2 linked regions of the Mus musculus genome follow. The protein of the gene in region 2 interacts with the protein of the main gene of each other region in a pairwise test. Links are inferred from orthologs where the notes say so. Each region holds a gene or a part of one and is shown on either strand. Other genes may lie near its edges.

Region 1 (4,204 bases), on a different chromosome or scaffold from region 2:
CTATCAACAAAGCTACATTCAGAGCCCACAGGCTGGGTTTTGACTTGTAAAGTTTATTACGTCTTACTACAGCCAGCCTGTGCCGGACTGGGCCTCAGCAAAACCCTTGGTCTGAACCACGGGAGCAGCCTTCTTGTATTTGCCAATGAACACCAGCGTTCTCATTGCCTCTAGCTGTCTCTGCACATTTACTGACCACTTAACGAGTGCAGCTCATTGACTGAGCTGGGAAGGAGAAATGGAGAACCAGATATACCCGCTATGCACAAGACGATGGGCGTCATGAACGATAGGCTTTTGTGCCCCACTTGGTGATCACACCTATCCCCCAAGATGAATACAACTGGAACCGGACCATCCCCAGTTCCAATCCTGCTGTCCTCCCTGACATTGCTGGTGAGCCTGGCATAGCTAGAGCACGACATAAGTCCGTAAATACTAGTTTAGTTTAAAACCGGCTTCTCAGAAGAGTGGTCCGGCCTTCCCTTTAATTTTCTCATCTAAGACCGCCCCAAACTCAGGCGGACCTTCCGCACTTGCACTTTCTATTGGCTGCGTAAACTCGAGCCCGTCCCCCACGCGAAGGGACCCAATGAGGGACCGCGATTAGTGAGACGGACAAGCGGAAGGGCGCAGGCCGAGAGCCCGAACAGGGAGCCCCCTCGCGCTCTTACCTTCCTCGCCCGGGCGTCATCCTCCGCCTGGATCTCGAACTCGCCGTCATCCGAGTCGCTGTCGCGGCCTTGGGAAGCCCCAGTTCGGCGTTTCCGCAGCCTCTTCTTCTTCCACGGCGCCATGGTGGGACGCGACGGCGGGCCAGGTCCCACACGTCTGCCAGCAGCCATGCGGGCCGGGCTCTTAGACCCGGAAGAGGGCGGGGCCTAAGGGACGCGTCGACTGCGCGGGGGCGGAGCCTGTGAGACGCAAGAGCGGCGTCGAGAATCCAGGTTTCACCCGTAGGGCGGGGCCGGGCCTGAGGAAACCAACCAACTTCGCAGGGGCGGAGCGTCAACATGGCTTTATCAATGGGCGAAGCCAGAAGGAGGAACCAACAGAACGGGGGCGGGGCCTAAGTGGTGTACCAGCCGGGCAGAGGCGAGGCCTGAGGGACATACCAACTGGTGGGGGCGGAATGTGTCAACTGAACCGTGATAGATGCTTAAGGGACCTACTAACTGCGCGAATGCCAAGCTGTGAGAGATGTGGTAACTGTAAAGAGAGCAGGACCTGAGGGACATAACAACTGAACGTGTGGACAAACTCGAGGAATGTACCAACCACGCAAGGTTGACCCTACCAAGGGGCGGGGCCTAATGGATGTACAGATGAGGCTGGGGGTGTGGCCTGTGGAACGTACCATCAGCGCGAGGGCGGGGTATAGGGACGTACCAGTGCGCAGGGGTGGGGCGTCGCACCGGTTGCCCAGCAAGGGATGCGGGTGGGCGCGTGTCGCTGTGGCGCCCTTGCTGATTCTGTGCTATGAGGCTTTAAATGTGGCGGAGACAGAGCTTTCTGGCCGGAGGCTCCAGGAGAAAAAGCACCAGGCATGGAGATCCCGTGACGCCTGCGCTTTCAGCTCTGTAAGCTGGCCGGTGCGTTGCTACTCTGCTGTTGGGAGCCTGAGCTGGACTCGGGGAAAATGCATTTCGTATGAGACTGGTTGGCGAGGACTGGAACGCACCACGTTTGCAAAGCGCTTTGCACAAGGTAGGAATGGGGGGCGACAGTAGCTTGGGAGCCCCTTTCCCTCTTCCACCCTAATTAGTTTGTCTGGTTGGTGCCATTCCCCTGCACGCCCGCAGTCGTACTATATTTGTTGAGCATACACTGTAGGGTGTAATTGTGTATTTACTTATTCATTAAATATTTGCTGACGGCATTTTCTCCCGTCTTCACAACTAAAAAGACAGTGCCTGCTTTAGCCTGACCCATGCACCTCAGACGCCAGGCGATCGTGCAGTTCTCCGTGGGAAGTAGAAGCGGGAGGATCCGGAGTTAAAGGTCATTCTTGGCTATATAATAAAGTTTAATATAGTGAGTTTCAGGCCACCTTGGACTACTGAAATTGGGTGTCGGGGACGGGCAAGAAAGTGAAGCACTTCCAAGGTGTCCACTGAACAACAGTAGTCCTTTGAGAAAAACCAGTCGCTTTCCCTCAGCAAGAAAAAGCCCTTTTTGCCCTTGGGCTTGTTATTCCAAGCTGCTGCTCTTACTTGGAAAAGCTGATTGCTCATTCCGACCCCTATTACAGGGAGCCCTGGAGGCTGAGTCTGTCAGGCACACCACACCCACTGGGCAACGTGAAGACCCCGGTGGCACCGGCCCAGCAGCGGAATGAAAGCCCTCCACCTTCAGCACCGCAGTCCCACCAGCTACAGGGTCAAGGCCAGGGCATCCTATGTGGATGAGACCCTGTTTGGCAGCCCAGCAAGAACCAGACCTGCCCAACCAGACTTTGACCCACCCTGGGTGCAGAATTGTAACCGATCCAGAGGAGTGGGCCCAGGACCACCGAAGGGCTCTCTGGCCAAGAGAGACTGTGAGTCCCCCTCTTCCAGGGGCAGCACCCCAAACCTCACACCAAGGAAGAAAAACAAATACAGGTAAGGTGGGGGGTGCACTCCTGTTTTAAGGGTGGCTGTCTTGGTCCCTTTCCTGGTTGCCGTGATAAAATACTCTTGGCAGAAGGAACTTGGGCAAGAAAGGGTTTGAGTTGCTCTCCTTGGTTATAAGAAGTCACAGCAGTGTGGGGTGGAGATGGTTGGTCACATTGCATGCTCAGCACACTCTCTTGCTTTTATTCAGTCCCAGGGTATCTGACCCCCATCCCCCGCTTCTGACACCCCAGGCATGTGCAGGTAAAACACTAGTACTAAGGGGAAGGTCTATCGTAGGTATGGCAGCGGGCCAGCCTGACATAGCTGATTGCTCTCTGCCACTCTCCTTCCTGATGATCCCAGATCTTGCCAAGTTGGCAATTGAAACTGACCACCAGAGTAGCCGTCAGGTCTCCTGGAACAGCTTGTTAGGGACCTGTTGTGTGGCCATGGCCAAGCGCCTTGGTTCTTTTTTTTTTTTTTTTTTTTTTTAGATTTATTTTATGTATATGAGTACACTGTAGCTGTACAGATGGTTGTGAGCCTTCATGTGGTTGTTGGGAATTGAATTTAGGACCTGGACCTCTGCTTGCTCCAGTCTTCCCCGCTCACTTGGACCAACCCTGTTTTCTCTGGTCCGTCCCACTCTCTCAGCCCTGGTTGCTCCGGCCCAAAGATTTATTTATTATTGTACATAAGTACACTGTAACTGTCTTCAGACAGCACCAGAAGAGGGTGTCAGATCTCATTACGGGTGGTTGTGAGCCACCATGTGGTTGCTGGGATTTGAACTCAGGACCTGTGGAAGAGCAGTTGGTGCTCTTACCCACTGAGCCATCTCGCCAGCCCCATAAAAATTTATTAAAGGAGATTCTGGGGAGGAGGGGAACTATTCAAGCAAAAATAATGTATTTCTGCTGAGCTCACATAGACTTTTTTGGAAAAGTACATTTATATTTGGTTGTTTTGGGATGGGAGGGATGTGCACTGGTAAAGGCCAAAGGACAACTTGTTGGAGTCAGTTCTTTCCTTCTACTACGTGCATGCGGAGGATCAAACTCAGGCTGCAGGCCGCCAGTCTTGGCCACAAGCACCCTTACCCACTGAGCCTTTTTGCTGTCCCTAAGCGACAGTGTCTGCTACTTCTGTTTATGTGGCACTTAATGGGCCTAATCACTCCCATTAATCTGGAGCTGAGCAGATTCAGGAAGGGGTCTGTCATCTGTCCTTTTGTCTCCAGGAGAAGAGAGCGGGAAGCCCTGAGCTGCTTTGGACCTATACCTGTCATTGTATTAAAGAATGTCAGGCTTATTTGTGGGTACCAGGCAGGCTCTGCTGCCTTACTTTATCGTGGGAAGTGAGGTTGCAGAGGGCTTTAGGATCATCGCCACCACCGGTCACAGTGCCCTTCCCTTTTTCAGGCTGATTGGCCATGCCCCATCCTACTGCGATGAGTCACTGTTTGGCACTAGCAAGGAGGGGTCTCGGATGGCCGTGGGGGATGCTGCAAAGCTCCGGACCCTTTTCTGGACCCCACCAGCCACCCCTAGGGGCAGCCACACACCTTGCCCCAGGGAGACCCCTCTGCGAGCCATTCACCCAGCTGG
Region 2 (3,596 bases):
GGCTATAAAGTAGTTGAGACAGCACTCTCGCTGGTCTGTAGTGTCTGATAAGAATTTGCATTCTGTGCCTGGTTCTGCCCCTGTCTGCTTCTTTCCCAAAGTTCTAGGCTATTCCTAATTCATATATATTTTACTTTAAGCTTTTCTGAAAATTAATTTTTTAAACTGTTGGTCTGTAAAGGATTACAACTTTGCCTTGTTTGGCAACATAGAGGCCTAAAGGGCAACCCACGGATGAGCCAGGTCGTGAAACCCTTGTATTCCTAGATACCTAGAGCATTTGCTCTTAGAGGCAAGTCTCTTTCCTTGGGTTCTAGAACTTAGAGCGGTAGCAGCAAGGTTCCTGATACATGGTTCTTTTTGTGTAGAGTTCTTTTTTGGACAGCCTTCCTCCACTGGTGCTAATTTATAAGAATTGAGTGCTCTTCTAAATGTTAGTGTAGAGCTTTGTGCTCTATCTAAATACACTTTCCCCTTTAAATGAAAGTATTTTGATGTTTGTATGACAAGCTTCTCTTTCTTTGATACTCTGTTTTCTCTACTTTATTTTCCTTCTCTAAAATAAAAAAGGTCTAACTCTAACCTCTTCATTAGCAATATAAGTCTCTAAGAACCCCTTACTATTAGAACAGTACTGTCTGCACATTTGGGGATATTTACAGGTCTAACTTTAAAAGACTAAAACAGATCTATTAGAGGAGATGTGAAATGTGGTGTCGTAACTTCATTTAATACAATTCGTATAACTTATAGCATTGGCTCTAAGAAAAGGAGGCTTAAGAGCCTCTCTTTGGGAACTGAACATTTTCTGTACCTTGGGTAAAAGTACACTAGAATGTCATAGTATTACTTTGCAGGAATCAAAAAAGAAAACTGGATTTGGAGTTTTTAATTGGTGTGGCTTTGGGCATGGGCCTTAATTCTGCAAACTTGATTCTTAGTCGGTAGAACTGGATTGCATTTTCTCCCCCATGATACTACAGAAACAAATGAGAACTGTAAAGTGTTAGGTGAGAATCTGCAGTGCATTGTGTGGTGGACCCCCTTGGTAAGGAAACTGAAAGCATTCTTACTGTAAAGGTCAGGTCCATCTAACTCAAGAAAAACCTACAAAGACTATTTAATGTAAGAAGAGTTACTGCTGTAATGAGTGGCAGGCATAGACTTGTACCATAGTTTTAAAAACCTGGTACTGGTAGCACATGCCTTTAATCCCACACTTGGGAGACAGAGGCAGGTAGATCTCCAAGTTCAAGGCTAGCCTGGTCTACAGAGAGTGTTCCAGAACAGCCCAGGGCCACACAAAAATCCTATCTCAAGAATATTCTTCAAGCATCAGTTTATTACATGTTTATATCAATCTTGGTTTACATGTATTAAAAAAAAACAAAAAACAAAAGTCAGAAATCCTCAATTGCATGGAGTTTACATTCTGGTAGTGGAGGGAGACAGTAGTTGAGAATAGGTGGGTATCAGGGTGAGAAGGTGACGTCTGAGCAAATACTTGCTGGAGAGGAGATGCTGCTGCCAGTTTGGAGGCCACAGTTCAGACAGAGGTCTCGAGGTAGAAACAAACCTGCAGGTAGTGGCAGGGACCCCAGTGTGGCAGAAGTGTGACTCACAGGAGGTGAAGTGGGGTGGGAACCTTGGTGACTTGTCTTTTACGCTGAGGAAATAAATCTTTTTGAAGACTTAGGTGCAGAGAAGGAAATGTCTTATTTAATTGTTTTTTTAAGAGTTGAGGCGTAAACCCCAGACTTTCTCATGCTAGGCAAACATTCTGCCACTGAGCTATATCCCCAGCCTTGTATTTTTGGTTATGATTTTAGCTGCTCATCGTGTTGTATGATGCAATTAGGAATTTCTTTTTAATGAGAATAAAGGATAACATTTCCTCAGAGTGAAAGGTAACGTGTGTTCTCTTTGTTTAAATCTAAGGTCAGCTTCGCCTTACCATGGCTTTACCATTGTCAACCGACTGAACATGCACAATCTGGTTGAGCCAGTGAATAAAGATTTGGAATTTCAGCTCCATGAACCATTTCTTCTGTATAGAAATGCAAGTTGTGAGTATATCTGTTTGCATTTAACAGAGTGACTTTAATTTCAGAACATTGGGTTTCAAATTATACTAAATATGGCCTACATTATAAATGTGTGTCTTGGTAAAAGATCAAATTCTTTTTAAATGTATATGTTTATGTGTATGAGTGTTTGTGTGTATGTGTGCACAGAGACCCCAGCCCATGTGTGGAGATGAGAGGACAACTTTCAGGCATTCTATCTTTCTACCATGTGGGTTCCAGGTATGACTCGGGTTGTCAGGCTTGAGGGTGTGTCCCTTCACCAGCTGTGCCATTTCACCAGCCCCAAAAAGCAAACATTTTAAGTTAGCTCTAAAATTGAATAGGCCTTTGCACATAACTGACTTAGGTTATTTTAGTGAACTGTCCCATCTAGGCCAGTTGCTAGCATCATAGTTGTGTATGTTATGAGCTGTCATGTCATTTGTTTTGCTGTAGGGCTGAGCTGTCTGCTGCTGTCCCTGAGCAACAAAACTTAGTCTGACAGACACAGTGAGCGCAGACACTCAGCTTTCCACAGAGAAAGCCCTTCACCATGGATGGTGACACTTTCAACCCACGAGTCTAATAGTGTCCAGTAGGTACAAATTCTGTGCCAAAGCCGTTGTGCTTTCATGATAGAGAGCAACCTATGCCGGGTACGCACGTGGTTTGGGGACAAGACTCGAGGTGTATGGCATACATTTAGTTGGAGAATTCTAGGCCAAGGTCTTGTCAGGCATTTTTACAGTTTGTAATAGCTGTTGAATTTAGTCAACAAAGCTCAGAGTAGCCCTTTCCAGAAGAGTGTAGATGTTCCTCACCTCACCAGTGGCATTACTTGCTGGTAGAGCTATCATAAGTTGAAAGTTTGTTAATATACTTAAGCTATTGAATGCCAGAGCTTAGCAACACAGTATACTATAAAGTATCAGTTGTTCCTCCACCGTGATCATATGGGATTGGGAACTGTGACTCGTTGTTACTGTACAGTACTGAGGGAAGTATCCCACTGTGTTATTTCTATTCCTATCACAAGGGAAATGTACAGTCCAAACTTTTTTTTACTCAGTACATACTACTTTCATAACATTTATAAGCCAAAGGGGGGGGAAAAAACTTAAGTCAGATTATCATAAGTATGGGACCATCTGGACAAGAAAGTATAGTTGAAGATCAAGGCTTTAGCTCAGTGGTAGAACACTTAGTGTTCATGTGCTTTGGGTTGGATCTCCAGCCAACACGAACGTGGTGTACGTTGCATTCTGATAGTTAAGTATGATGTTAGAAGTGTGACTGAGGACAGGACAGTTTGCTTATTGTTGACCCAGGAGAGATACCAAAACAGAGTGGTGATTTAGAAAGCTGGATGCCTTGCCTGTCCTGGAACTCTTTGTAAACCAGGTTGACCTTGAACTCACAGAGATCTGCCTGACTGCCTCCCCAGTACTGGGACTAAAGGCATGTGCCGCCGCCACCCAGCATTTCTTGCTCATTTTTAAGTATCTACATAAAATAGGATCTCTCTCTTGA

What was found. The genes of interacting proteins can lie anywhere in the genome.
Region 1: the proteins of Dcp1a (region 2) and Rita1 interact in binary tests that used the Homo sapiens proteins (3 or more experiments, as listed by UniProt). The two-hybrid records come from large-scale screens. The link is inferred for Mus musculus from reciprocal best matches to the Homo sapiens genes DCP1A and RITA1.

What each region holds. Positions count from the first base shown.
Region 1 is NC_000071.6:120,609,777-120,613,980, reverse strand, and holds the start of Rita1 (RBPJ-interacting and tubulin-associated protein 1), read left to right. Parts: upstream 1-1,391; 5' UTR 1,392-1,707; intron 1,708-1,906; exon of another isoform or gene 1,907-2,001; intron 2,002-2,251; 5' UTR 2,252-2,334; coding exon 2,335-2,603; intron 2,604-4,018; coding exon 4,019-4,204. Other genes in the region: ATP-dependent RNA helicase DDX54, read right to left, coding at 675-845. UniProt on the Homo sapiens protein: Tubulin-binding protein that acts as a negative regulator of Notch signaling pathway.
Region 2 is NC_000080.6:30,482,521-30,486,116, forward strand, and holds part of Dcp1a (mRNA-decapping enzyme 1A), read left to right. Parts: intron 1-1,938; coding exon 1,939-2,066; intron 2,067-2,073; exon of another isoform or gene 2,074-2,722; intron 2,723-3,596. UniProt on the Homo sapiens protein: Necessary for the degradation of mRNAs, both in normal mRNA turnover and in nonsense-mediated mRNA decay. Removes the 7-methyl guanine cap structure from mRNA molecules, yielding a 5'-phosphorylated mRNA fragment and 7m-GDP.